Linked DNA regions of Drosophila melanogaster. The protein of the gene in region 3 interacts with the protein of the main gene of each other region in a biochemical or structural test. Each region holds a gene or a part of one and is shown on either strand. Other genes may lie near its edges.

Evidence for each region.
Region 1: the proteins of alphaTub84B (region 3) and Klp68D interact in far-western blotting, tested with the Drosophila melanogaster proteins (one study listed by BioGRID).
Region 2: the proteins of alphaTub84B (region 3) and Klp64D interact in far-western blotting, tested with the Drosophila melanogaster proteins (one study listed by BioGRID).

The regions. Positions count from the first base shown.
Region 1 is NT_037436.4:11,789,488-11,800,712, reverse strand, and holds Klp68D (Kinesin-like protein at 68D), read right to left. Parts: upstream 5,100-11,225; 5' UTR 5,015-5,099; intron 4,856-5,014; 5' UTR 4,757-4,855; coding exon 4,092-4,756; intron 3,987-4,091; coding exon 2,297-3,986; 3' UTR 1,838-2,296; downstream 1-1,837. Other genes in the region: Gcat (glycine C-acetyltransferase), read left to right, coding at 355-551, 613-1,474, 1,537-1,694; CG10907 (uncharacterized protein), read right to left, coding at 5,323-5,650, 5,710-5,916, 5,976-6,359, 6,537-7,126; twy (twitchy), read left to right, coding at 7,584-8,914, 8,980-10,435. UniProt on the Drosophila melanogaster protein: Plus-end directed microtubule motor that may be used for anterograde axonal transport and could conceivably move cargos in fly neurons different than those moved by kinesin heavy chain or other plus-end directed motors.
Region 2 is NT_037436.4:5,353,229-5,363,503, forward strand, and holds Klp64D (Kinesin-like protein at 64D), read right to left. Parts: upstream 6,165-10,275; 5' UTR 6,027-6,164; coding exon 3,993-6,026; 3' UTR 3,636-3,992; downstream 1-3,635. Other genes in the region: Cyt-c1 (cytochrome c1), read left to right, coding at 7,112-7,183, 7,464-7,511, 7,649-7,797, 8,265-8,397, 8,467-8,760, 8,875-9,102.
Region 3 is NT_033777.3:7,084,040-7,092,180, reverse strand, and holds alphaTub84B (alpha-Tubulin at 84B), read right to left. Parts: upstream 5,583-8,141; 5' UTR 5,440-5,582; coding exon 5,437-5,439; intron 4,948-5,436; coding exon 3,598-4,947; 3' UTR 3,342-3,597; downstream 1-3,341. Other genes in the region: tailor, read left to right, coding at 6,201-6,299, 6,669-6,767, 6,824-7,256, 7,414-7,647, 7,700-7,806, 7,863-7,998, 8,057-8,141. UniProt on the Drosophila melanogaster protein: Tubulin is the major constituent of microtubules, a cylinder consisting of laterally associated linear protofilaments composed of alpha- and beta-tubulin heterodimers.

The DNA.
Region 1 (11,225 bases), on a different chromosome or scaffold from region 3:
CTGTATAGCGTATATATGAAGCTCTTGTCATGCCATATGGTTATTTCTAAATGACTTTTCAAATAACAAATATTTATAATTATATTTTCTTTAATTTGAAAAAAAAATAACGCTTTATAGATAAGAAAATAGGAAATATATCTACTCTATGTGTATGAAACATGTGCATTTCTATTTCTGAACACCTTGAAATTTTTAAATATTTACATAATTTAAAGTAACAAGTAACGTGAAAAAATTTGACAAATTCTCTTTAAATACATATAAATATGTGTCTTAATTATACTACAAAATCTTTTAAATAGCCAAATAAATTGCTAGAATAAGACTATATATTTTCGTACTCATTCGCAGTGGGAGGACGCCACTATAGCGCAGCGGCTCAGGCTCAGCTGAGGGAGATCCTGGGCACCCAGCTGGCCGGGATTAAGGATGCAGGCACCTTTAAAGCAGAGCGAATCATCACATCTTCGCAGAGCACTCAGATAACCGTGCAAGGTAGCGATAAAAAGATACTCAACTTTTGCGCCAACAACTACTTAGGACTGGCGGTAAGTGAACTTGTTGCGATCCCAGTGATGTCCACCTACAAGCTTTCTCTAACACCACCAGAACAATCCGGAGATCGTGGAGCACAGCCAGAAGCTGTTGGAGCAGTATGGCGCTGGTCTGAGCTCAGTGCGGTTCATTTGCGGCACGCAGGATATACACAAGCAGCTGGAAAAGAAGATAGCCCAGTTCCATGGGCGCGAGGATACCATTCTGTACGCCTCCTGTTTCGACGCCAATGCCGGTATCTTTGAGGCCATCCTCACACCGGAGGATGCGGTCTTCTCCGATGAACTAAATCACGCATCCATCATTGACGGCATCCGTCTGTGCAAGGCGAAGAAACAGCGCTATAGGCACCGGGACCTGGGCGACTTGGAGGAGCAGCTAAAGGCCAGCGATGCTCGCCTCAAGCTGATCGCCACCGATGGTGTTTTTTCCATGGATGGCAACATCGCACCACTGGCCCGAATCGTTGAACTGGCTAGGAAATACAATGCCCTGGTGTTTGTGGACGAGTGTCATGCTACGGGCTTTTTTGGCGCCACTGGACGTGGCACCGAGGAGTATGACAATGTCATGGGTGAGGTGGACATCATAAACTCCACACTGGGCAAGGCTTTGGGTGGTGCTTCCGGTGGATACACCACTGGACCCGCCGAGCTAATCTCGTTCCTGCGCCAGAAATCCCGGCCGTATCTCTTCTCCAACACTCTGCCGCCAGCTGTTGTGGCCGTTGGTCTGAAGGTAATGGACATGCTCCTCCAATCCAGCGAGCTCACCCAGCGCGTCCAGAGCAACACGCAACGCTTTAGGCAGGCCATGACAAAGGCTGGATTCACCATAGCCGGCGAGAACCATCCCATCTGCCCCGTTATGCTAGGTGACGCTCGTCTTGCCTCCCAGTTTGCCGATGAGATGCTAAGTTAGTTGAAATCTTAATCATCCCTTTATCTACATATATATTTAACTAATATTAAATTTCAGCCCGTGGCATCTATGTCATCGGATTTAGCTATCCGGTGGTTCCTCAGGGAAAGGCACGCATCCGTGTTCAAATCTCCGCTGCCCACACGGAAGCCGAAATCGATCGGGCAATTAATGCATTCATTGAAGTCGGTCGCTCTCTGAAAGTAATCAAGTGAAAAATGGAAATCAAATGGAGTCCAGTATTTTGAATATTGCATTTATATTAAACGAAACTGCATTTATCTACAAACGTTGTAGTAGTACTTATTCATCATGAGTTTTCCAATCCCCAAAAACAAATTAACTCAGAGGTGTTTTTGTGTTTACGGAGTTGCTTTATTTGGTTTATAATATTAACTAAAAATCATTTACTAAGTAAATAATAGACAGTTGCAGCTGGATTTAACTCAAGCTTGGATTGCACTTAATCGAACACAAAACGTACGTATGTTTGCATTTAAATCAATAACAATAATTCGAGTCGAGTAACAAATAAACATAAAAATAATTAAGGAAGCGTGTTGGGGTCGACTGGCCAAGTCACTCAAGGCATATGGCATTAACTAAAGTGGAATTAATAAAAAATCTTTATAATTCTAGGGCCAGTGCATGAGATGACTTAAAACAAAAGGAAACTTTTACAAAGCGTGAAATGTGAGTAGATTGGGCTAAAAGTACCGAGGTGTACATATTGCGATGACTATGAAATACTTTGGTTAGTGTTGTGTTTGCACGACAATGGTTAGATGCAATTCAATTCGATTAAAATCGTTTGTGATTATTTGTTGACCAGGCCGCGAGCTTTGGGATACGCCGAAGCTGGCTTCTTTGCCGGCAGACGGCCCGTGGGCGGACGGCGGTTCGAGTCCAGATTTGAGGCGGCACTTGGCAGCCCCCGGCTTGACTTAATGTTGCGAACATTGGGTATGGAGCTGCCCACAGCGACGCCAGCACCTGGTCCAGCTCCTCCATTGGCATTCGCGTTGATAATGTTCTCTAGACGGCTGCGCAGTGAGTTTGTGTGCGAGTCCACGATGTCTATATCATCTCCGCCCGTTTGCATGGCTTGAGCGAGCACCGCCTGCAGCGAGGCGGACACCTTAGGCGTACGGTACTCCTGGGTGGTGCGACACGGCATCTCCAGCTCGTAGTTCACGATGTTCTCGCTCTTGAAGCGTAGAGAGCTCGGTGAATTCGATTTGGCTTCCTGCAGAGCGTATTCGGAGGTGGGCCTTCTGCGCTGAGGATGCGATACCGGTCGCTTGCTGCTGAACTTGCCATCACCACCAGGAGGCGTGGGCAGCGACATCGAAGAGAATTTCCATTCCTCCTGCTCCTCGTCATACTTGGCCTGCGTGTACAGGCGCTGCTTGACCTCGATGGGCACAAAATTGTCGATGATAAGAAGCTGGCGTTTTAGCTCCTTGACCAGCTCGTTCTGAGCCATCTCGAGCTCCCTAAGATCCTGGTTGTGGTCGGACTTGCAATCGTTGAGTTCCTGCTGAAGAGCCAAATATTTGGCGTAGCATTTGGAGAGCTTGCGCTTCTTAAGCTCCACCTCTTGTTCAAGTGAAACATTTCGTTCGCGAATTTCCAGAGTAGTCTCCTCCTGCAGTTCCAGCTGCTGTTGGATCTCAATTTCACGCTTCTTGCGCTCAGCGATCTCCACCAGCTTCTTCTCCAGCTCTATCTGGCGCTCACTGTACGTGTCCAGCAGGTTTTTTCCGCCGCGAACAAGTTGACCCTCCAATTCTGCGAGTTTGGCTGCCAGTTTTGAGTTCTCGACGCGCTCCCGTTCCAGTTCCTCGTTGGACTTCGCCACCTCGGCCTCGTTTTCCTTATCCGATTCGGACTCGGCACCCTCGGGATCGCTGTCATCCTCCACCGGCTGCTCAATTGTTGAAACCTGCAGAGAGTCTGACATCTCTTTAGTTACGGTCTCCTTTTTGGGCTTCTTGACGCGCTGCTTCTTGGCCGTGACCTGCTTTTCACTGCGTTGCTGCTGTTGCGGACCTATTAGCCGCTTGAGTCGCTCAATTTCCTCTTGGTACTCCTTCAACTTGGCATCCTGTGGATCCTCATTCTTAATCGGCTGATTCTGGATGGACTTGGCCCGCGAAGCGTACCGCAGCGTTGTAAGCGTTTCGTTATAATTGTAATTGGATGGTCCAATGTTGGCAATCATAATGGTCTTGGAATTGCCACCCAACGAATCCTGCAACAATCGCGTCAGCTTTGAGTCACGATACGGAACATGTGGCGAACTTTCGGCCAGGGCGGAGATCACGTTGCCCAGCGACGAGAGTGCCAGATTAATCTTGCTGGCTTCCTTTAGCCGCTCCGCTGATGCTCCTGTCTTGGACTGCCGCTCACTGCCCGCCAAATCGATGAGATTCAGTTTGCCCACTTTGATGGTGTTCGTTTCCGTATCGCACATCTCGATTTTGATCATGAAAATGGCGTGGGATCTGCAAGTAAACGATAATTAATTAACTAAAGTTTATCCTTATCGAAAGCCTCGGATTCCTGATGAAATGCGAGTATTCGTATAGCCTGTTTATACCGAAACTTACCTTGAACTATGCTCATTCATGTTGGTGAATCCCACTGTGCGGTTCTTGTTGCCCACCTGCATCACTTTGATCATATCTTCGACACTCTTGCAGTTAATGGCGTGCAGATTGGGCACATAAACGCCCGATCCACGTTCCCGCACCTCCAAATGCTTAGAGTTGGGCTTTAGCAGATCGCGCAGCTCCTCCATATAAATCTCTAGGTAGGATACATCGACCAGAAACTGGAAATTCTCGGTGCGATTAATGTGCAGCCAGATCTGTTCGAATGTGCGCGGTATTATGCCCATCAGTTCGTCATTTCCGCGTACTCCCTCCATTGTGAAGGTTTTACCAGTGCCCGTTTGTCCATAGGCAAATATACATCCGTTGAATCCCTCCAAAACGGAACTGACTAGGGGAAAGACCACTTCATGGTAGAGCGTCGTCTGCGTTGCACTCGCATCATAGGCGGCATCGTAGGTGAAAACCTTGCGCTGCTCCTTATTGCCATCGACCACATTCTGCAGCTCCACAACGCCTCGATTCGGATACACGTTGACCACCTCCGGCGATCTTTCCGAGCGTTCTCTGTTGCTCATGGGCCTGCATCGGACCACCACCTGGACGCACTCGTTTGGCGTCTGGCTGCTGCCGGTGCCAGGTCTCCTGCTCTTGGCACTCATCTCCAAATATCCGGAGATCCACAAGGTCCGTGTTAACTGTGCTCTTTTCTGTGGTGGTGACTCAGGCAGCTCCGCCTCAACAAAAACAAAGTCGAGTAGCTGTGGCGACCGAAAACAAATGACGAATAAAATCAATAATTCCCTCCTGACGCAACCTTCTGATTTGGGCACTTCTGTGCTCGATTTGCACGCACAATTTGAAGCTAGTCAGCCACTTGAGCTAATGAGCAAATCGATTTGGCAATCAACTGCTATTACCTGTTATTTTGAAGCCAATTACTTCACCTTGAATTCGCTTTTTTGTCTCAGCTGCTGTTAACTTTGTCTGGCTCAAACGTGCAGTGTGCCCAGGCTGACCAACGTTGCACCACCAAATGGAGCGAAAATACGGTACTCCCAATTCAATACCGCGCAATTCAAAATGGCAGAGAAATGAGCACAACACTAACTTACCACCCAGTTTAGTAGATAGTAATTGTTTTTTGGTAATAGTATACGCAAGCAGATAATTACGATATATATAAATACATCAATATTTATTGAAACTATCTTTTTTTATTTTTTCTTTAAAAGTCACGTTTACTGCTTTTTGATTTACCCGAACTCGATTTACTAGAGCCAGTTTCGCCCCGCTTACGTTTATTTAGAGGATTTCGTGGATCGTAGGCATCGTACCAATCGTCGCCCTTTTTATTGGCATCCTTAGCTAAAACCGGAGTCGTACTATTAAAATTTAAGGTATGCGACAACCAATCGTCGCCGATTATTTCCTGTTCTACTACGCGATCGTCTATATCCTTCGGTTCCGATTCGCCATCATCAGAGCTTGACTTTTGCTTCAAGTTATCCAGTTTCGTTCGGAACTTGGAGAGTAGGCTCAATGTAAATGCCTCTCTAAAGTTTAAAAAAATTGGTAAAATCTTTGAAAAGAATAAAATTTATATATATCCCACCTTGACTGTCCCTTCGGTTGAAGCTTTACTTTGGCGGTGTACTTCTCCTTAGACTCTATAAAATCGTTAATATAATGGTTTTCGCTGGACCCCTTGATTTCATTGGACTTTGCTGCTTTCTCTTGTCCATTAACTAGTTTGTCTTTGCTCTGCTTATCCATTTGATACTGCTTTTTCAGAGAAGCGATTTCCTCACGGATCTTGGATCTAAAATACATAAATTATATGACTTGAAACATGATAAAACCTATTTAAGTATAGCTCACTTTTCCTCCGAGACTTTTCGACTTTGTTCCTCCTCCCGTGTTAACAAAACATCCTCGTCATCCTCAGAATCAGACTTTTCCTCCACTGGCTGAACTTTTTTGTCTGCTCCACTCTTTGATCTCTTAGACAGTTTCATTTTGATGAGATCCGAACTAGCAGTGGACGGTTTATCCTTGACACTGTCCTCAGGGCAATCGTCGGACAAGTGCTCCTCGATGTCGGCTTTTTCTACTTTGGGTACACGAATGGGCTCCTTGCTGAGTTTTGGATCATCTGTGACGTCGTGCAGGGATTTCGCCTTACCGGCGTTCTGTTTAACATAGACGTTGGTCTCCTCCTCGTCACCTTCGGCTTCTTCGCCAAAAGAAAGCAGTCCGAAGTTTCTGTGGATTATATTGAAGCGTTAGCAATGCACTACAAGGTATTTAGAGACTTCAGTTTAAGTGTATGGTAAATAAATCAATACGTTGCAGATACGCCGCATTATTATGCCATCATTCATTGTTTTCACTTAGTAGTATGTTAACAATTTGGTTTCCGATTTAGAACGTAAGTCTTACTTGACTCCTTGTCGCTCCTTCTTAGTCTTTTTGCTCTTCGTGGAAGGTTGGGAGAGAATACGAGGAACGATATCATCGAATGGGTTCGAGAGGACTTCCGTAGAAACGATGCGATGTGCGTGCATCGGTCTTTCCTGGTGGTCAACAATGCCATCTTCCAGCTTGAGCATGTTGTAGATGGTATCGCCGGTGATCTTTCCAAAAAGCGTGTTCTTATTCTGCAGCTCCGGTGTCGGAGCAAATGTGAAGAAGAACTGTGAGCCATTGTCATCCTTTCCAGAATTTGCCATGCCGACGAGGCCACGACGCGTGTACCGGAGTCGGGAGTGGAACTCATCCTTGAAGGGCTGTCCGTATATGGACTCGCCGCCGGTGCCGTCGCCATTCGGATCGCCTCCCTGGACAATAAAGCCCTTGACCAGCCGGTGGAATTCGGTGTTCTTGTAGTAGCCCTCTAGGCAGAGTTGCACAAAGTTGCGGCACGCCTTCGGACACTCCCGTGCCCACAACTCGATGTCTATGTCGCCCACAGTGGTCTTAAGGAGCACCTTTCCCGACGTGGGTGGTTCTTGGATGTAAATATTGCTCATTTTTTAACAAAAATCAAAACAATCTCAACGGCAGTGTGACCGCACTCCACGCTTTACAAAATACCAACAATTCCTCGAACACTTGTTTTTTTTTAATATCGTTAAAAAAATTTAATAAAATTATAACAATTTAAATTTATATCAATTAATGGTGTAAAGCTAGTTTGATTTTATTTTTATTCTAAGGTTTCATATCTGTAAGCCTCCATTGGAAATGCTATAAGCTCTCATGCAAAGGAATTAAGTAAAAACCTGAAATTAAACATACTTTTAAAAACTATGTAGTCATTGAAATCCCAAAACATTTTTTTACGCTATCCCTTAGTTAATATTAAAGACTACTTTATCCTGTTCGATTATTTTCGTTGCTGTAGACATTTAAAATTCGTTACTAGGCAACCGTATCGTTTACATATCAATAGTTCTTTTTACTTTTTACCATTGGTTATTATTCACAATGAATTTCAACGACGATCCACTGGCTGAACTGCTCAGCGATAATAGCCTGGATAATGACAACTTCTTTGAGACGCCAGCGGGAGTGGGTCACAAGAAGCCAGCCAAATTGGCGAAGCCCAAGGGAAAACTGGAGGATTTGTTTGGGATTCAGGAGGAGACGGAGGCGGATGTCCAGGGACAGGGAACGGGTGCCAGAAAGACACCCAATGCCATCAGCACGCCGAGAATTGTGAAGCAGAAGCCATCTATCTCACTGGATGATGATCTGGTCGAGGACGATGACTTGGGTTTTGATCCCAAACGACCCAAGAGTGGCGGCACCAAAAGGAGCCTTTTCGATGATCTGTTGACCAGCAACGCGGAGCCCAAGAAAAACATTTTCGATGAGATTCTGGCGGGAGATGCCGTCAAACGTCCGGCCACTAGCAAACCATCCATGTCGCGCCAATCCACGGACACCACCACGGACAACTCGCAGGCGAGGCCCAAGACTTCTACCGGCAGAAGAAGCTCAGCGCAATCGGCCACCATTAATATGAATGCCGATCCGTTGGGCCTTTTTGGCAGGGATACGAATGCTACTGTTTCGGGAATGTCCACTCCCGTTTCGAAAAAACGGGGAACTACCGCGGATTGGTTGGGTCTGGAGCAGGAGCCGGATCAGCGACCGATAACACCGAAAGCGCAGACCGCCAAGGCGCAGCCCTCAAGTGAAAGTCCTTCCAAGAATACAGCCGACATCCTGCGCCTGCCCGACTCCGATGAGAACGGTATGGAGCAGGAGGCGGAAATGGCCGCCGTGCCCGCCCCATCCGTCGTCACTGCCGCCACCCAAAATATCCTCATGCTTAGCAATCTCAACCTGGAGAGTAACCATAAATTCAATGCCCTGCAGCAGCAGGAGGCACAATTGGTGATTGCCGCCCAAATGAAGAGTCAAGAGCGGACTCTATTGGAGATGCAGCGTCGCCAAGAGGATCAGGATCGAAAGTTTCAGGCATTAATCCAACAGCAGCTGCAGCGACAGCAGCAAATGGAGGAGCATATAAAAGGCCAGCAGGAGCGGATCAACATGCACCTCCAGCTGATGATGTCGCAGCCAGTGCGTGTACAGGATGTGGTGTCCACACCGCCGCTCGTGGAGAAACCGGAACCGGAACCGGAAAGGAAGGAGCACCACAAGGCGACCAGTCAGGAACAGGAGCATTTGCTTCTGCTAGAAATGGATGCCAAACGCAATCTGCTGGAGAAACAGCGACTCGATGAGCTGGTGGCCAACATGAAGGTCAACTATGAGCAGGAGATCGAAATGATAGATTCTTCATATAAGTAAGTTTTAACCAGCTGCTGAAATAATAATGCAAATGAGTAAGAGAATTTAATTTTATGTCCAGAAAACAAATCAAGGTGCTGGAGGAGCACTTGTCCGTCGTAGAGAAACGACTCAAGGACGAGAATAGCGAGTTACGGCAGTACTACATCGAAAAACTGGAGAAGCAGAAGGAGGACTATGTGGAGCAGATTTCCAGCCTGCGACAAGATCATGAGGATGAGGTGCGCAAGCTGCGTCAATCCCACGAGCTGGACCTCGAGGGTATTCGTCAGGCTAAAATGGTGGAGTTGTCGGCGGTGCAGGATCATGGAAATTATCTGGACACATTGCGTCTGGCGTCCAGCAATCTTCAAGAACTTCGTGACGGGATGAGTGACAACCAGGAAAGGGAACGGCAGTTGGAGGCGCGAGAACGTCGCCTGGCCGACCAGGAAAGGCGTCTAAAGATGGACGAGGAGACGGCCGACGATGAGAAGCGCCGCCTGATGGAACTGGTGAGCACCTTGGAGCTGCAGCTGGGCCGTTTGTCCAAGGAGTCAGCCGAAGAGAACTGGCAGCTCCGTCAACGAATGTCCAGCTTGGAAGCGGAGCGCAAGGCTTTCGAGCGCGAAAAAGAATTCCATCGCGAGCAAATGCAGCGGGACGAGAAGCGTGTGGAGGATCTTAAAGCACTGCAGCTTGCGGAAATGGAACGACTGCACCACGATCTCCAGGAGGAGCGCAATCAACTGACAGTGGAACGCCAGCAGATTGAACTAAGACAACAGCTCAATGAGCACGGCGACCCAGACAGAGATCGCCGGGAACTGGAGGCCCAACTGCAGGTGGCACGCGAAGCCATTCGGCGGGCGGATGAGGAGCGGGATCGCTACCACAAGCTGCAGCGCGAAATGGAGCAGCGCAAGCGCCATCTTCTGGATAAGGAGCACGCCCTAAATCTCAAGGAGGACGAACTGGGCCAAGCCACCGGCGCCTACCGCCTAGCCACTAGTCGCCAACACTTGGCCGAGCAGAAGGCTAGGGAGGCGGACCAGCTGCTCCAGGCCAAGCTTAAGGTCATGGCCAAGCGGGCCCAGGAAATCGCGGAAAAGGAGGCACAGCTGGCCCACGAACGAATGCTGGTGGCGCAGGATCGTATGGCTTTGGTCAATCTGAAGAAGCAGATTTCTCGCAGCAGGTGTGCAATCTGCAAAATGGGTGCGGAATCGGCGGAAATCGCCCAGCGAAGGGCAAATGTAAATCCCACAGCAGCCACCGATCTTCAACTGCCTCAAGTGACACCCAGTCATGCGGAGCTGCTGCTTAAAATGTCCCAGGAACCGGGACAGGTCCAGAGTGACATTGTGGATCGAATGCTGGACGAAAACATCGAAGCCTCCTACCGCAGGATGTACAATGCGCCCCCCAGTAGTTCAATCGATGATCCCGACTATCTATTGACGTTAGCTGGTGGGCTGGACGACGACTCCAAGGTGGCCATGGATCACGGCCTGAATGTGGACGAAGCATTTATGTAGATATTGTGGAAAAATTTGTGGAAGCACAAATAATAACAACTGAGATAAATAAATGTATTACTTGGCAATTAGTATAAGTTTTATAAACAAACTATGAAGATACAAGATTACATATCGCTCGAAAGTTAAGTATTTTGTTATTCGTTAGAAACTCAATAAATTTGAATTGATGGAGTGAAACCCGGCTACATGATTAGCCAATACTCAAACATCTGTTCGATGTATCTTTCATCGATAGTTGCCAAACAATATCGATTCGTTTACCATCGCTACTGCTTGTTGCATTCCGTTTTGTGTTATTTCGTGCTGTTCGTGTTTAAAGTTCTTGCGCACAAGATAATTGTTTTTTTTTTATTGTAAATTAACTGATTTGTACATAATATGTGATGGTGCAAGAAAATCTAAGAAAATAACGTTTTGTTCAGTATTTTGGTGTTGCGTCTATTCCGTTTTTTGTCACTGTTTTCTGTTCGTGTTTGTGTATGGTCGTTTCGCATGTATGTGTGTAGGTGTTTAGGTGTGTAGGAGGATAAAACAACTCTCCTAAAAACAAAAAAAAAACCTTTGGTTAAGTTTAAATTAATTGTGATTCGTCAAATATAACAACAACCGAGGATAAAAGTGTAAAACTATTAACCGGATGGTCTATGTTCGTAGCCCCGTCAAGGGAAAACCTCAACCAAAAAGAGACTAGCAACGGGTGTAAAAAGCAGCGGAGGTGACACCTCAAAAAGCAAGTAAGTTGGCAATATGCGGATGAGAATCACAAAGCAGAAGTCAAGTCTGCATA
Region 2 (10,275 bases), on a different chromosome or scaffold from region 3:
CGACGATCGTTTTTTCTTTTTTTGAGGTAACTTGAGAAGTTTTGTCTTGGTTTTCTTATATAGTATTTTTTGTGGAGCTTGTATTCTAGGCCATTGGCTTTTGAGGTTGAACTCTTACTTTTGTTCAAGCAAACAGAATCGTACTCGTTGGCAAGGTTCTCATTTCGTAGAGGTTTACTTTTCAATGAACTTTTTCTTAAACTTTGCTTGTTGGCCAAACCGAACTGCTCAGGTGTATAGCTTGAACTAAACCGCCACCGATTTTGATATGTTTGGAATCCTCATATGCCGTGCAAAAAAAAAAGCGTTATCTACTGGAGATAATGGTGATGTTTCAGCGGAAAAGACACTAAAACGGTCGGATAATCTACGTAAATACGTCAAGTACGATGTATTTTTGGATGCCCTATGTCTTAATTGTTATATGACATGTTTATTTGGCAAACCTACGCTTGAAGTTCAGTGAGTATCTCGCGTGGAGCTCTGTTTACTGGGTCCTCACCCATGTCAACCGCCTGCCCGACACTCATGTGATCTGTTACGATTCAGATACAGATATCTGAAATATATGTGGAAGTTGTTATTTAACGGCTGCCTCAACTTCGGGGTAAAGTCTAGCCGATAACCGATAGCGGCAGAGTCATTCACGGAACTTAATCAGTGCTTCCGAAGAGGCGACAAGAGCTAAAAATAAGCGGCACCATTGGTATTTCCCCTCTGAACTTTGATAAGAGTATGCGGAAAATAAAAATATCACAAAAAAATTCGCATATGTAGAAATTAAACTTTTAGTGAAAAACTGTTGAGTGCCGAAAGCAGCTCACACAAATAGCACATTTTAGTTTGGAAAAGAAGAAAATATATTTTTAACAAATATACATCGAAATATATTTATACACGCTTTGATGGTTCACTCTATCTATTTTTAAAATCTATGATCTATTTTAAAGAATGTCAAAGAAATCCAGAAGCGTAAAGATCAAACTATGAGTTCTTTGAACTCAGAATAAATTGGTTTACATTTGAAAATATGACAAGATCCACTTCTTTTAAATGGAAAACCCATTTCACTCAAAGGACAGTCACCCCTATTGCGACTCGTCGTCTTTCGAACCCCGATCCCCAGATAATCCTTATACATATGTCTATCTATCGCAGACAATGATGGGAAAAAACGTCCCCAGACAATCGGAATATGTTGACCCTATTTTTGTCGGTAAACAGATATTGCGACGCGTTCCTGATTTTTGCGATGGCATTTCGAGGTCAATAAATGATACAATGGAAGTGTTTTCACTAACAGTTAACACTTAACACTCGAGTTCAGCACTCTTCTACCGATTCGGTTTCGGAATGAGATCGAGATTGAGAGCGAAGACAACTTACCGGAAAATTGAAATGGCTCGTGACTCAGGCAAATTCCGCGCCGACAAATAAGAGAAATTCGCAGGGGGTGTGGGGGGTGTCTGGGTTCGAGATGACACTATTCGTTGGATCGCTGCTAAATTCAGCCACTGCGAACACGATTTTAACACGATTTTGCTATATAGTCACACAACGCTCACGTGTTAATTATCCATGAAGGGCTACATTGAAAAGGCGCAGGTTTAGGTGTGTATAACTTTTCCCGGATTACACTCTCAATGCGATTGGTTTGATTGGCGGCGAATGGGAACCAAACACACACACACACACACACACGGCTATTTCGATGCAAAAACTTGTGTCACATCAGATTATCGAAATGTTTGATATGGTTATTGTTGCTATGCGGCGTATTGGAAATATCAACGGCTAGTAACTAATTATACAGCGTGGTCGAGTATATGTAATGTGCTGCTTGAGTGTGTTTTTTATTGGGGAGTTTGTTAGAACGCGAGAACGTGGCGTTTATATATGAAATAAAATTTCTTTTTTGTAATTTAGTTGAGCGTCGGGCAATACTCTCAATTTCTTGCACGCGTTACGTATATATTTTTAGCGTCGGCAATTGCACATCCAAATGAAATTGAACAGATAACAACGAACTGAAAACTCGAGTTCAACACGCAAACACAGATCACAGAGAATTAAAGCGATTTTCCTTCCGTTTCGACTATGCGCAGCGGACAGACTGATATTGTGGGCCTGGGGCCGAAGAGTTTTACGATCGCTCGGTTCGGTCTGTCCGCCGAAAGTGCGAGAGCAACCACTCAACTACACTCGACAACAAAACAGTCATTTATTTTGAATATGGTGTTGAATTTAATATATAGTCTATATGAAATGCTATGTGAATCTTGTTTATTTTATACAGAAATATATACTAAATTAAAATGAACCTGCTATCTGATATTCAAGTTTCTAAAAAAGTCCTAATAAAACCGATAGCTTCATGATTGATCATGATTACTATTTCCTTGTAGCTTGGTGTTTCGGTTATTTGTTTCCACTCAATTGGCTGCCAGTGGAGTGAGTAACTTTACCTTGCTCTCGGTGATTTTTCACTCCGATCTTTTTCTTTCACCTGGCAACGCAATTCTCTTTTTCACTTGGCAGATTGGTTTAATGTGAATATATGTAAATTGAACAGTTATTCGTGACGTCTTACTGCGATACCGCTGTCCGCTGAGTGGAGCTCCGCCCCCCAATTCGCAACTAGCTGCAGCTAAATGGGCAAACAAAACGTGCGGCGATAAGAGCAAACTGATAAAGCGGAAATGCTTTCAGCCAGATTCATTTGGGTAGCCTAAAATCTAAGCTGCGACAGGCGTAGAAATTCGCACAAAGGTAAATAAATAATGGATAAAAGTACAGTTTGCTTTCCTTATCGCAGGCTTACCTGCCCAAACAATCGCATCCCCTGCAGGTGGGATGAGTAATCCGGTATCGAAATAACACCTGAACGGACGGCATTTAAGCGAAACGAACATCAAAAAAAGAAGAAAGGACTATTAAATTATGACATTCTTATTTATCGTTCGACTTAAAGCTTTCACATTCTTGGGTTTATTTTAATTTTAAATTATCAGCAACCCAGATTTTTAAATTCCTTACGATTGACTTTTTTCATTTTGCCTTAGAACCTTTTTTGGCGCTGTGCTTTGTTTGCGTTGTGTCAAGCGATTGGCATCTGGTTCCATAGTGTAGCGGTTATCACGTCTGCTTTACACGCAGAAGGTCTCCGGTTCGATCCCGGATGGAACCAGGAGGAAGTAACTTTTTTTTATTTTTATTTTTTTAAACGCTTACTAAGTGGAGTTTTAGCAAACAAAAGTATATAATATGTTATATATAATTCTTTCGTGTTCATAGTATACACAAAAATCAGTTGTTTTTACTTAAGTATTATTTAGTATTTTGTGGGAATAAAAAACTTGAATTTATGTTTTCTGTCGTAATAAAAATTAATAAACATATAATGAATTTAAAAAAATATATACTTTTGTCAACGTGGTTCCATCCGGGATCGAACCGGAGACCTTCTGCGTGTAAAGCAGACGTGATAACCGCTACACTATGGAACCTGTTATGAGTAGGTCGGCCAAATTTCAGTTTTCTTCAGCAAGCCCGGAAAATTTAAAGCATGCTTTCAAGCTGCTAAAAAATAAAAAGAAATTACGCATAATTCCTTGAAGTAAGAATATAAAATAATTACGTGTGAGTATCATATTTTTATTTAAAAGCCAAGAGCACACAATAGTTATATATTTGTGCCTAATCGGGTAAAATCTTGTTACTACTTAGTTGTAAGTATTATAAAATAAATATAAGTTAGAAAGTAAAATTACAAACACAGTAGTAAATATATTGCACCGTTGTTCAACCTAAAAAGTATGTCCTAAGCAATAAATCAACAAAAACTAAGGTCTAACAAAAAGGAAATTCGCTGAGCAAATGAATCTGAGGCTGTAGAAAATCAAGATTAGCAGGAGCAGAAACCAAAATTGGACGCGCAGACCGCCGAGGACATGCAGCTGGACTAGCAGTCGATTGTCCTTCCAACACTAGCTTCAATATCGCCTGGCAGTCGTCGGTCTGGGCACACCCGAGGTTCGCGGCCTGGCGGATTTGGAGCGCATTGGATTGGACACGCCATCGGTGTTGTAGCTGAGATAGACATGTGAGAGATCGAGGAAATCTGGCTCCTTGCCACTCGTCTTGTGCGCCGAGATGTGTTTCCTCATATTGTTACCCGTGTAGGCCACACACTTCAGCTGCCACTCGCCGATGTCCTCGTTCCAGTGCGTATACTGATTAATCATCGATTGGTACTCCTTGGGCACATAGGAATTTAATACCAGCTCACATAAGGCCAATTCCCTGGATAGGCTCCTGATATTCTCGTATATGCCCTCCTTTTCGCGCTGGTGCTCCTGCTGCTGATCCGCCAGCTCCGATTTCACGCCCATCAGCATCTGCATCACCCGGTGTATCTTCTTGGTAATGCCAGTGCTGGCATCTTGAAGCGTGGAGTAACGCTCCTCAATGTCAATCCTTTCGGTGGCCTTTTGCTGTAGAGTTTGCTTCAGCGCCTCCTCGGACTTTTCATGTTGTTCCAGCTCCGCAATGGATTGCTCTAGCAGCAGCTCTTGCGTCTGGGCTTTCTCCAGCAGATTCTCGCCGCCAACGAGAATTTTACCTTCCAATGAGACTAGTTTATTGCGAAGTGTTTCCTGCTCCGTCTTAGCATGCTCGATTTCCTTCTGATGCTCGTTTTTGCGCTTGGCCAGTTCCTCCTTTTCGGCATCGGTTTTCTCGCGCTTCTTCTTGGGTTTTTTCTCCACAGCCTGGATCGTTGATGATTCCAATTCGATCTCCAGTGGTGCCTCCAGTTCGTCATCTGCTGTATCCTCCTCCTCTTCGGAGCTCGGTGGCTCCTCCTCCAAGCTGTCGCCCTCCTCCAATTGCTTGCGAAGTCGGGCAATCTCCTCCTGAAAGTGACGAAGCAAAGCATCCTTGGGTTCCTCATTGATGTGCATGCGATTTTGGATATTCTTAGCACGACTAGCATAGCGAAGTGTGGATATAGTTTCCATATAATTGCTATCCGCTGGACTAATGGTGGCACACATGACGGTCTTGGAGTTACCACCGAGGGAGTCCTGCAGAAGTCGAGTTAACTTGGAGTTCCGATACGGTATGTGGGTGCTTTTTCCATCCACCAAAGCACTGATCACATTTCCCAGCACCGATAGCGAAAGATTAATCTTGGTGGCCTCTTTAAGTCTCTGTCCACTGGCCTGGGTCTTCGACTGCCTTTCGGAGCCGGCGAGATCCACCAGCTGTAGTTTACCCATCCTTACGTGCTGGACATCACCTTCGCCCAGCTCACTTCTCTCCACAGTAATGGAGAAAATGGCATGGGAGCGGGAGCTCTCCTGGTTCATTTTGGTGGCTCCCACGGCACGATTTTTGTTACCCAAACGCATGATGTTCTCCAGATCATCGGCGTTGTGCACCACATAGCCACTGAGATCCTTAACAAAGACACCGATGTCCGGTCGCTCCTTGACCTCCAGGCTCTTGCCCACATCCTTGCCCAGTAGATCCCGCACCTCTTCGTTATAGATCTCCATGTAGCTGACGCGCACCAGGAACTTCTGATTCTCCTTGGCCTTAGCAATGTGACCAAAGATGTGCGCAAATGCATTCGGAATGATGCCCTTTGTTTGCGGCGAATCCGGATTCCCCGACATGGTATACGTCTTGCCGGTGCCCGTTTGTCCGTAGGCCAAGATGGTGCCATTATAGCCCTCCAGCACCTTGTCCACAATCGGACGAGCGGTGTCCACATAGAGATCCATTTGATTGGAGCCACCATCGAATACATTGTCGAAGTAGTACGTTTTCGGCGGTTCATTGGCGGTGGCATTCGGTTTCATCACCGTAATGGCCCGGTTGATCTTATCCACCGAAATCGCACTTAGCGCTCCCGCGGACAACTCATTTTTGTCCATGGGTCGCGTTCGCACCACCACACGCACATTCTCGATTTCGTCATCGAGTTGGGCCGTTGTTCCCGCATTTGCCTCCTCCTGCGGCATGGCGATCTACGTCCTGGCTTTATTCCTCGTCTAGTGAAAGCTATTAACCACTATTTGCGCTGACCGCACTTAGTGGAAATCAATAAAGGGGGTTTTTTCTCGCATTTGTTTATGCGTTGCTAGGTTTTTTTTGTTGGCGAATCATTAACGGGTGGTCAGCTGTTATCGATAAGTGTGCGAAAAACGGGCGAGAAGGATGCCAGACCAGCGGAAAAATCTATTCATCAGTGAGACAAAATAATTTTATATATTTTTTTTTAAATAATATATATATAAAAACAATTAGCAAAAATAAAAATAAAATTATAATATTGACCTGTGATATAAGCAATCGAAGGTTATTTTGTGAACTGCGATAATTGTACTTATTTTTACTTTTTGAAAATCCTTTTTCAAGGCTTTTAAGAATTTTATAGATATTTCGAAAAGAATTCAATAATAAAAATTAAAATCTTTTTTTGTGATAACAGCGCAGTGAAACATGAAAAATTACATAACAGCAACCAAAAATTTGGCTAAGGCTAAGGCAGCTGTTTTTAGAGCTGTTCTGTCAACTTATCTTATGAAATCATCAAGTGGTTTCTAAAAAATCAAAAAATCCAACTTAATGTCAACAAGTAGTTCCAATTAGATTATGAAGTATTTTGAATCAACAAGTTGGAAAACCGTAAATTCGAAGATATAATAAAGAACATGAAAGAAAAAAAAAACACTAAAAGCAATTAAGGTACACTGTGTAACAAATATTTATTAAAAAAGAAAAAAATAAAAAGTGATATTTTAAATGTATTATTTAAATTATACATACATTAATATCATATTATAAATAAATATCATACAGTAAATAAAAAAATAATAATAAAATAAAATTAAAATATCTGTTTAAAAATACCAAAATATCGCCCCCGCCGATTCCGATTCGCTGGCAAACGAGCGAGTTGCCCACCACCACCTCCGCGAGAGAGCAGCGAAGAAGAGGAAGACGTTGTGGCAGTGGTACTGAAAGATTGATTCGATTGGCGATTGGCTGCCCGCAGAGTTTCCTTAAACGACCAGACGACGCAGAAATTAAAACTCCGGCCACCATGGCAGCGACATTGCGAAGATTCCATGGCTTGAGATTGCTGAAATCCGCGCCAGCACTCAGCCTGCAGCAGGTAAAGATCGTGAACGGCGGATGCAAGTTTTTCAACAGCCACCGCAGCACCTTGAAGGAGTCGTGTGTCCGATGGAGAAAAACATGAAATAATACCGTAAAACATAAAATACAAGGACCAATGGTGCACTCTAGGTGGCACAGTGAGTGGTATCCGCAATTCCAATGGGATTAAATGAACTCGGATACGAACCGAACAATCCAATTATGTAACTCCGTGCAAAAATTCTTACTCTCCTTGGCCGAACATCCAAACTAAATGACATCCGTTCTTTTTGCAGGCGAAGAACCTCTCCTCCGCCGGCAGCTGGGCCAGTGGCAACAAGAAGGTAAGTCAGCTAGTCAGGAATCTCACATATTCCCCCACTTCGCATTTCATAATACCCGATCGGACCTAACCTCAAAACGCGTTTGCTTCTCGGTGACTGTGTGCGGCTGTATGTGCGTGTGTGTGCATCACGAACAGCTGATCGGCGCCTTGGGAGCAATCACCGGCGGAGTGGGCGCCCTTATCTACGCCCTGGAGCAGTCCGTGCAGGCATCTGGCGGCGAGGTGCACTCCCCCGCGCAACTCTGGAACCACAAGGGCCTCTTCGACGCTTTGGACCACCAGAGGTAATCCAAAAAACGGCGGTTAAACTGATCAGTGGTCGGGAACTGGGCATTTCCATCTGTGGTGGAGCTAACTAAGTGCATTTCTAGTGAATTGGTTTAGATTGCTGTCAAATTTCAAAAAGAGTTCTTTAATGATTAGAGAGATTTTGTTTGAAGTATTTTATTTTATCTCAAACTCGCCAATACAAATATCATATTCAATTTAGAAAACGTAGCCAATTTTCCCGGCAAATCTTCTGTAATCTTTAAAAACTGATAACAACTATAGATTAACAACAATACTTTGCTCATAAAAGCTAATCAGAACAGCAACTAGCAGAACATAGAAGATTAATGGATTGTTAAATGGGGATTTTAGTTAAAATTAAAGATATTAAAGAATGTTTTGTAGTATCTGCATATAAGATGGCATTTGCCCACTGACCCTGCTATCCAGTTAGTAACATCATCTCAATTCCTACTTTCAGCGTTCGTCGCGGCTACGAGGTGTACAAGCAGGTGTGCTCCGCCTGCCACTCGATGCAATACATTGCCTACCGCAATCTGGTTGGTGTCACCCACACCGAAGCCGAGGCTAAGGCTGAAGCCGAGCAGATCACGGTGGGTATTCGAATTTTTAGATTTCTAGATCTAAATGTTTCCTAATTGATTTGAATGTCCCCGTTACAGGTCAAGGACGGTCCCGATGATACCGGCAACTACTACACTCGTCCTGGCAAGCTGTCGGACTACTTCCCATCGCCGTATCCCAACGAGGAGGCGGCCCGTGCTGCCAACAACGGTGCTTATCCTCCGGATCTGAGCTACATCGTGTCGGCCCGCAAGGGCGGAGAGGATTACATCTTCTCGCTGCTCACGGGCTACCATGATGCTCCTGCCGGAGTGGTGCTGCGCGAGGGTCAGTACTTCAACCCGTACTTCCCGGGCGGTGCCATTTCCATGGCGCAGGTTTTGTACAACGAGGTGGGTGGCTGATCAAATACTAGTTCTATATTTTCCTTCTCAGAAAGAAACTAATGATTTGAAAACGATATAAGAGAACACGATTGCAATCTTTAATGATTATCCCCTTTCCAGGTCATCGAGTACGAGGACGGCACACCGCCGACGCAGAGCCAGCTGGCCAAGGACGTGGCCACTTTCCTGAAGTGGACTTCCGAGCCGGAGCACGACGATCGCAAGCAGCTGCTGATCAAGGTGATTGGCATCCTTGGCTTCCTGACCGTCATCTCGTATTACATTAAGCGGCACAAGTGGTCGTCGCTCAAGTCGCGGAAGATTGTGTTCGTGCCCAAGGAGAAGTAGAATGTTTGAATTTGATTTTGATGGTGTGAAGAAATGCAGTGTTATCGCGGCTTTACCGACTAATAAAGATAAATCAATTTTAAGCAAAAACCAAAACCACACACAAGTGAACAAGCAACATCCGCAACCACCAAGTCAATGTTCTCTCCGCTGAAAAATATAAACACAAATACTATCCCAATATGCGAGAGCCAGCCAACCAAACGATTCAAAATAAAACTAAATAGCTAAATCTAAAACATCCTTGGTAACCTACTGATGGTAACCAAACAAAGATCGGATCGGAAGATTCAATGAGCGGGGGATTGAGGCTACAAAGACTACAGGAGCCTAGCGAAATGATTGATGGATAATGTGACATTGATTGTGTATAGAATCGATAAATCAATTATGTATTTAAAACAATAAACAATTGACAAATAAACGGAAATGATGGTTGGTTGGAAAATCATTTCTAGGCGGGACATCAAAATGTTTCAATTTGTTACTTGATTTTGTTTTGTTTATAAGTTTTTAAGTAACCCCACTAGATTACATGGATACACTACGTTTTATTGGATTAATTGTTTTATTTAGAAGCTTAAATTAAAGTATTATTTTAATCATCGTTCATCGTTCTGTCCGCTCGATTTGCTCATCGGCTTAGTGTGTGTGTGTTTCTATATATATATATATATATCTATAATTTCCACAATTCAATGATTATAAATCGCGTCCCTCGTCCCAAGCGATTCGGGAGGAAGATTTTCGAAAGAATAGAATATAAAATCAACTACAAAATCGCTTCATCAATGATAAACAAAAAAAAAAAACGTTCGTACTGGCGCCGTCTACAAAAATTGTGTTCGACATGTTGGTTTTATTTAAATTAATATATATTTTGCTTTATGTATATAATTAATAAATTTTTAGTTTAGGCAAAAAAAAACAATAATTACGCTCGGATCTCACGCTGTGATCTTGATTAATCGTTATCATTGTTATGCATTACTTTTCTGTTCGATTAGTTTACGAATTTTCGATTTGAAGTTTTGAATCTGAAACATTCAGGCATTTAACTTGTTTCTTTTGCTGCTGTTTTATTTCTTATTCAAAAGAAGTTCTCATATTTTCGTTTCGTTTTGTTTGGGGACTGAAGTTGAAGTAGTAAGAAGAGTAAGGTAACCAAACACG
Region 3 (8,141 bases):
CTCTGGTGTAAAATAGGTTGGTAGCCCCAAATGTGTATGTCAAAAAAATGTAGAATGTATTTATAGTAGAGCTGGAAAACCTCGATGTTTTTCAGTTTTTCAATACATTGAGCGTTTTGGAAAGCAATCGATGTTTTCTCCGCGCTAACACAGACACATTAATAGAGCGAGAGAAACAAATAGGTTGTTTAATTTTATAAGGAATAGAAATGTTAGTTTTCCTTATTTGATTAAAGAAAAATAAAAATTAATTGGAGGTGTTGGAAGAGCGATTAAGGTTGGAGAAAAAGTACTAGATATGCTACTTTTCATCAACATATGATGTGTTACATTGTATATTGTTTAATCAATGAACTAAAACGTTTTTGTTTTTTTTTTAAACAAATTTATTTTAATTCCTTTGCAGTCCTTCTTGCATTTTTCTTAAGGGCTATTGTAATATTATTTACATATACTGCAACGGTATAAAAACTTCGGTTCACGCTAAGCTAAAGTTCTACCGTTTTTTTTTTTTTTCAAAACAATGATAGTATCGATGTTTTACAAATTTCAACAAATCAATATTGGCATATGTAGGTATGCATTCAACATGTTGTTGGATCAGGTAGTAAGTCATCGACGTCTACCTGGTCCCCATAAACTGCGCCAATTTTTAAGAAAAACTGTACCAAGTTTTTAAATCCAGCCCCGGTTACTGCAGAAAACGACTGACGATCTTGCACAACCCATTGGGTGCATTTTTCAATGGCTTCTTCCCTGTCGATTTCAGAAACGATTTTTAACTCCGTTGGTCGTCTCAATTGTAAGCAACATTTATGGCGGGATAAATTGGAAGTGTGATTTTGTATAAATTTGAGCACTTTCCGGCATTTACTGCAAAACAGCCATCCGTCCAGAACAGTTTCATCTTCCTTAAAAATGTCACATAAAATGCTCCAAATCACACTTTTTCCCTTACGTTGATTGGCAACAGTGTAAGCTCCATTCATAATTTTTTTTTTAATTAAATCTGCCGTTGCTGTCATAGTTCCTCCACTATCACTATCTACAGCTTCTTTTATCGCGGCCGAGACTAGAGTACCCTTTTCTTCTGCCTCCGAATGGGCCTTAAGACTTAATGTTGTTGGATCAGGGAGTAAGTCATCGACGTCCACGTGTTCCCCATAAACTGCGCCAATTTTTAAGAAAAACTGTACCAAATTTTTAAATCCAGCACCGGTTACCGCAGAAAACGACTGACAATCTTGCACAACCCATTGGGTGCATACTTCAATGGCCTCTTCCTTGTCGCTTTCAGAAACAATTTTTAACTCCGTTGGTCGTCTTAATGTCAGGCAACATTTATGTCGGGATAAATTGGAAATGTGATTAGGTACAAATTTGAGCACTTTGCGGCATTTACTGCAGTACAGCCATCCGTCAAGAACAGTTCCATTTTCCTTTAAAATGTCACATAAAATGCTCCAAATCACACTCTTTCCCTTACGTTGAATGGCAACCGAGTAAGTTCCATTCAAAATTTTAGTTTTTATAATATCTGCCTTTTCTTCCATAATTGCGACCTCTTTCTTTGGCTTCGAATTATGACTATTTTTGCCACTCAAAACTTTTTGCGTACTTGCCTTTTTCTCACTGTTTCCCTTTTTTCTGAGTGGCGAGTGTGTTCGGCACTCGCGACGAAGAGTTCCGCAATGATTCGGGTGCGCGCGCACCCGAGTGCTTGCAAAACACACGAAGGTTATAAGTGAGTACCCGTAAGGGAGTGGCACCCGACACTCAAATTGGTTGAGTGGCAAAAAATGCCACTCTTGCAGTTCAGACATACATACATATGTATGTACGTATGTGTTCTGTATTCTTATTTATTTTGCAAAGCGAAGCATTTTATATTTCCGAACTTTACTTTATTGATCAAACATTTCGGCTTACACATTCATCCGTATTCATCAGAGCTCGATTGTGGGGGCTTGCTGGCCATAAAACCGCCGACGAAACCGCCTTATCCACCCACACCTTTCTGAGCAGATCTCTGTGAGCCGGTTCCGAAGTGTCGTCATTATAAAAATGCGTTGGCGTTTGACACTATCCATGTATGTACGTACGTATGTATGTACATATATAGTCATATCGCCATACCAAATCTGCGTTGGCAGCTGGCTATGATTTCATGAAGCCAACTGTTTGCATTTATCGCCGAAAAAGCGTGATTTTAAGGCTGAAACTGTTTCTTAAATAGTCTTAGGTGCGTGCTGTTAGGTAAACTATATTTCAACGGCAAAAAAAAGACCCATTTCTTTGCACATTTGTACCAAATGACATCAGACATAACCTCAATAAAGGCGCCAGTCTCTACCGGTAAATGCTATTTTATGTATGTATGTACATACATATATGTATGTATGCACGTTCTTACATGCAATGTGTGCGTTTGTGCATTTCTCGTCAATACAGTGTACACATTTTCCAAGCACATCTGCCTCCCGTGCTTCATTTCCTGCCCGTTTGCCTGGGTATTTCTGGAAATTCGATAGCAGCTGCCTCTTCGGTCTGTTTCATGAAAATGCCGCATTGGGCGCAAACGGAGCAGGCGGATTATGTATGTATGTGTCTACATACTTACAAGTACAACACAACAACCAACCGGTTTACCTAGGCTCCAATTTCGTTTTGGCAAATCAACCCCCATTAAAGGCCTGCACAAAGTACATACATAATGTGTATGTACAAACGCGGTCACTTCAATACGTACATACATACATATTTAACTCGTAGACTCGTAGTTAAATTCGGAAGCTTCGCATGGTTTTGCCTAATTGTTTCAGATTTATGGGGCTTACATACATACATAATTACTTTATACAACGAAAATTACTAAATAGAATCGTTCCTGTAAGCAGGACTGACACATTTGCTTGCGTTGATTGCTATTATATCGACCTACCATAGTCACATAAATATGTACATATGTAAATATGTATGTATGTACAATCGCATGCTTGACGGCAGTTAAGAAATGAAGTCACCATTTCGGTGAGCTGGCAACGATTATGCTGTGGCCCCGAAAGGAATGACTCATCGTCCCAGAGAATCGATACCAACGGTGGAAAGCCAAGTGCATGCCACACTGCGTGCACAGCCTGCTGCTACACTTGCCACAAACAGCAGGCGGAAAAGCGCAGCAGCGGCCCGAATCGGGGAAAATAGAAAGCGCTAATTATAGACGAAGTGAACGGCAGCTCTGCTTTCCCGCAGTCGAAACTCCGTGCAATGACCCCGTTCTTTCACCACGAAATGAATGATCGCTGGGAGAAAGAAAAGGCAAAGAAAAACAGTGGGGTTTTCTTATTTCTGACAACACTGAATCTGGCCGATTTTATTCTTGTGTACACAACTTATCGCCGAGTTAACTTGGCTTTTCTGCTATACGTGTCTTTGTGGATAAAATACTTTATGGTTTCTCGTACAATCTTCATCGTTTTCGTATGCTTTTCAGTGTTGCAGTGAATTTTTTGTTGCGATTGGAAGCGTAAACACTGATTTCGACGGTTACCCCGCCCACCAATGACGCTCCCATCGAGCGTTGAAGTGGCGTGACGCTTAGTACTCCTCAGCGCCCTCACCCTCGCCGTCACCGGAGTCCATGCCGACCTCCTCGTAGTCCTTCTCGAGGGCAGCCAAATCCTCACGGGCCTCGGAGAACTCTCCCTCCTCCATACCCTCACCAACGTACCAGTGGACGAAGGCACGCTTGGCGTACATCAGATCGAACTTGTGGTCCAGACGGGCCCAGGCCTCGGCGATGGCCGTGGTGTTGGACAACATGCACACGGCACGCTGCACCTTGGCCAAATCACCTCCAGGCACCACGGTGGGTGGCTGGTAGTTGATGCCAACCTTGAAGCCAGTGGGGCACCAGTCGACGAATTGAATGGTGCGCTTGGTCTTGATGGTGGCAATAGCGGCGTTGACGTCCTTGGGCACAACATCACCGCGGTACAGCATGCAGCAGGCCATGTACTTGCCGTGACGGGGATCGCACTTGACCATCTGGTTGGCCGGCTCGAAGCAGGCGTTGGTGATCTCAGCCACCGACAGCTGCTCGTGGTAGGCCTTCTCGGCGGAGATAACGGGGGCGTAGGTCACCAGAGGGAAGTGAATACGTGGGTAGGGCACCAAGTTGGTCTGGAACTCAGTCAGATCCACGTTAAGGGCACCATCGAATCGCAGAGAGGCGGTAATCGAGGACACGATCTGGCCAATCAGACGGTTCAGGTTGGTGTACGTGGGGCGCTCAATGTCCAGATTGCGGCGGCAGATGTCGTAGATAGCCTCGTTGTCGACCATGAAGGCGCAGTCGGAATGCTCCAGGGTGGTGTGGGTGGTCAGGATGGAGTTGTAGGGCTCGACCACGGCAGTGGACACCTGGGGGGCTGGGTAGATGGCGAACTCCAGCTTGGACTTCTTGCCGTAGTCCACGGAGAGACGCTCCATCAGCAGCGAGGTGAAGCCGGAGCCGGTACCTCCACCGAACGAGTGGAAGATGAGGAAGCCCTGCAGACCGGTGCACTGATCGGCCAGCTTGCGGATCCTGTCCAGAACCAGATCGACGATCTCCTTGCCGATGGTGTAGTGGCCACGGGCGTAGTTGTTGGCCGCATCCTCCTTACCAGTGATCAGCTGCTCGGGGTGGAACAGCTGACGGTAGGTTCCGGTACGGACCTCATCGACCACAGTGGGTTCCAGATCCACAAACACGGCGCGGGGCACGTGCTTGCCAGCTCCAGTCTCGCTGAAGAAGGTGTTGAACGAGTCATCACCTCCGCCCACGGTCTTGTCAGACGGCATCTGGCCATCGGGCTGGATGCCGTGCTCCAAGCAGTAGAGCTCCCAGCAGGCGTTTCCAATCTGGACACCAGCCTGACCAACATGGATAGAGATACATTCACGCTGTGGATGAGGAGGAAGGGAAAACGGATGATTAGTTACACACCCCAAGAAAATCGATAATTGCAGAGCCGCGCCCAACTTGAGCCGGCACTGCGTGCGAGTGAGAGAGGTAGCTAAATGGTATACTGATTTTTTTGCTCTACTTTGCCGACGCCGGAATTTTACTCTCTCGCCATTTTCTCTTTAATTCTATCCAAAATCTACAGTTATGCGTCGAAGTATCATGGTAACCGAATTTAGAATTTTTAAGATTAATGAAGCGTTCCAGCAGCATAGAAATAATGAATATTTTTTTTATCTAGATTTTAAGAGCCATTCCTCATTGCGAACAAAAAAAAAAAACAGGCATGACGTCATCACTTTTGAGGAAAAAACGCAGGCCGGCCGCCATTTTGAGAAAAAGCCGCATCGCGTTTTTGCCCATTGAATTTTGCCCACACAAATTTCTTTTCAGCATTATTTCACTAGATTTTTTTTTAAAGTACTCACCATATTGAGTTTTTATTGGAAGTGTTTCACACGCGACAAGGAAAATTCACAGAATTGTGTAGAGCTACGATTTCGAGGTCTGACTCAGAGAGCGTATACGTTCGAACTGCCGGCTATGAGGCTTGACAAACGTAAAACGAATATGAAATGTGGAAAGCGGGCTGCTTTATATAGGCACCGGAGCTAGAGACGGCAAGCTGTCGACTTAAACGCCGCATAACCGATAACTGAAGTGGGAGAGGTAATGGCACTTGGTCTCTCTAAAACTTGCTGCGGTATTTTGCAGGACTAGTTGGGACTCGAACCAGGGCGTGAATCTTTGCTTGCCCAACCGGTAGACCTAACCGGTTGCTAAAGTGGGCCAACATTAATAATATTTTTGTTGAATGTTTCATAAAAGCTATTTTAATATAAATTCGCATCGTTACCGATTCAATAAGGTTTAGTAAATCATTATATTTCTGACTCCATATTGATTTCCAACAGCAAATTAATTAACTCCATAACTTCCCCTCTCCCTTTGGAGCAAAGGATGTAGTTAATATCTTAACATCTAAACTTGTTTTGTTTTTTTATTCAAATAGGAGTTATATTAAATAGAAATGTAAAAAACAAAGCAGGTTTTAAGAAAATGATGTCAGGAGATTTTGAACTCCTACTCATGGTCACTCTAATCGCAGTCTGCAATTTACGTGTTTCCAACTTAACGCCCCCAAGTTAATAGCCGTAATCATTTGAAAAGAAAGGCACGCACGCACAACGCCATGCGGATCGAACCTGGGGACTCCTTTTGGACGAAAAAGGCGATGTTTTCCAACGCAGAAAGGCAGTACTTTGAGACGGTCCGTCCGCGGAAGACCAGTGTGAGTAAAAGTTGACCGTCGATGGCGATTTCACAAGTGACGTTTAAGTGGCGGGAACTTCTACTCACAAATCCCTGAGCCCTGTGATATGATTTATTTTATGGAGCCGTGATCCGGACGAAAAATGCACACACATTTCTACAAAAATATGTACATCGCGGTGCGATTGTGTCGCTTAAAGCACACGTACACCCACTGTCACACTCACACTCACATGCATACACCGCCGGCGAACTTTGGTGTAGTTGGCCACCCTACGAAATTCAACCGCTTCGATTCGAATTTTCGAATCAACAGTTATTGGCAGTCGAACAAAGGCGGCAAACTTTCGAGTTGCAGAAAAGTTAACGCATTCGATTAACCTTTCAGCTTCCGGGCTCCACCGCGCCCAACATAGCCGCTCCGGTAACAAAGGCCACGAAGAAGAATAAGACGATGGCCGAGATGATGCCAAACAAACTGCTTTACGTGAGTACGAGTTTGTATCATTCGAATTTTTAGACTAAAGCCCGCTGATCGTGCAGATGAATCCGCTTACCATGGAGGCACACTTCTTTCTGCAGACCCTAAACTCAGTGAACCAGACGACGAATCCGCCGCAGCTAGACCCGCACCTGGCCAACCTGCTGGAGCGCATTATGGTGGGCATCGAGAGCTACTTGGACAGGAATCCCACATACGTTTTGCCGCAGGAGATGGCCGCACCGGGTGAGGGCGTGGCCTTCGTCCAGCCCCAGGAGCTGCAGACAATAAAGCGAACATTCAGCTGTAGTTCCTGCAGCAACCGCATAGTGGGCACCACCATCGCAAAAGCTGTGGCCCACCTTTCGGAGCAGCATCCAAAACCCAATCCCAACAATCAGCCAGTCCAGCCGCATCCGACGCATCAGACGAAACAGGAGAAAAAGCAGGCCCAGGTGAAGGCTCGTCAGCATATAACAGTACGGCTACCCAAGAGTAGGTCACCATTTCATTTCATTTACTTACGCAGAAGTGCAGTCTAAAAATTGTGGTCTGACTACTTGTAAATGTTAGATTGATAAAGCCTCAATACTTTGATTAATATGTTTTCTTTAGAGCCAGCGATATTTTATAAATACTTTTTACATTGCAGAGGCCAGGGCAATGATTGTGGGAGAGATTACGAATGTGTTTAAGGACAAATACCCAATAGCGGACAAGTTAAAGGTGATTCCCGAGTACGACGTTATCGAACAGGACCTGTGCAAGCTTTTGTCGCCGGGCTTTCCCAAACAACCACTGCGAGTCTACAAGTTCGGGTCCCGCATCACAGGCATTGGAAATCGATCCTCGGACCTGGACCTCTTCGTCGACATCGGTAAGTCGGGTTAGTACTGCATTGAGCTCCTACCAATTTCACCTGGCTTCTGAATTGGCAGGCAACACATTTCACACGTTCGAGCATCGAGCTTCCAACGCTACCGTCGCCAAGCTGCGGGCTATGAGGAAGTTCTTCTGCGACAGCGAGGACTGGCGTCTTATTAATGTGAGCTGTGTCCCTAAGCAATACGTTCGTTTTTACCATTGCACTTTCTTCAACAGTTCATCGAACAGGCTCGCGTGCCCATCATCAAGACGTGCCACTTACCAACCGGTATCGAGTGCGACATTTGTCTGAACAGCATGGGCTTTTGCAATACAAATCTGCTCAAATACATATTTGAGTCACAGCCACTGAGTAAGCACATGCTGCCGGATAGAGTCCATGTTATCTTTTTGCATTCGCTCCCTTGCAGCTCAATATATGTGCATATATGTAAAGAACTGGCTGGAGCGCTGCAAGCTAACTGAACAAATATCGACGTACAGCATTACACTGAT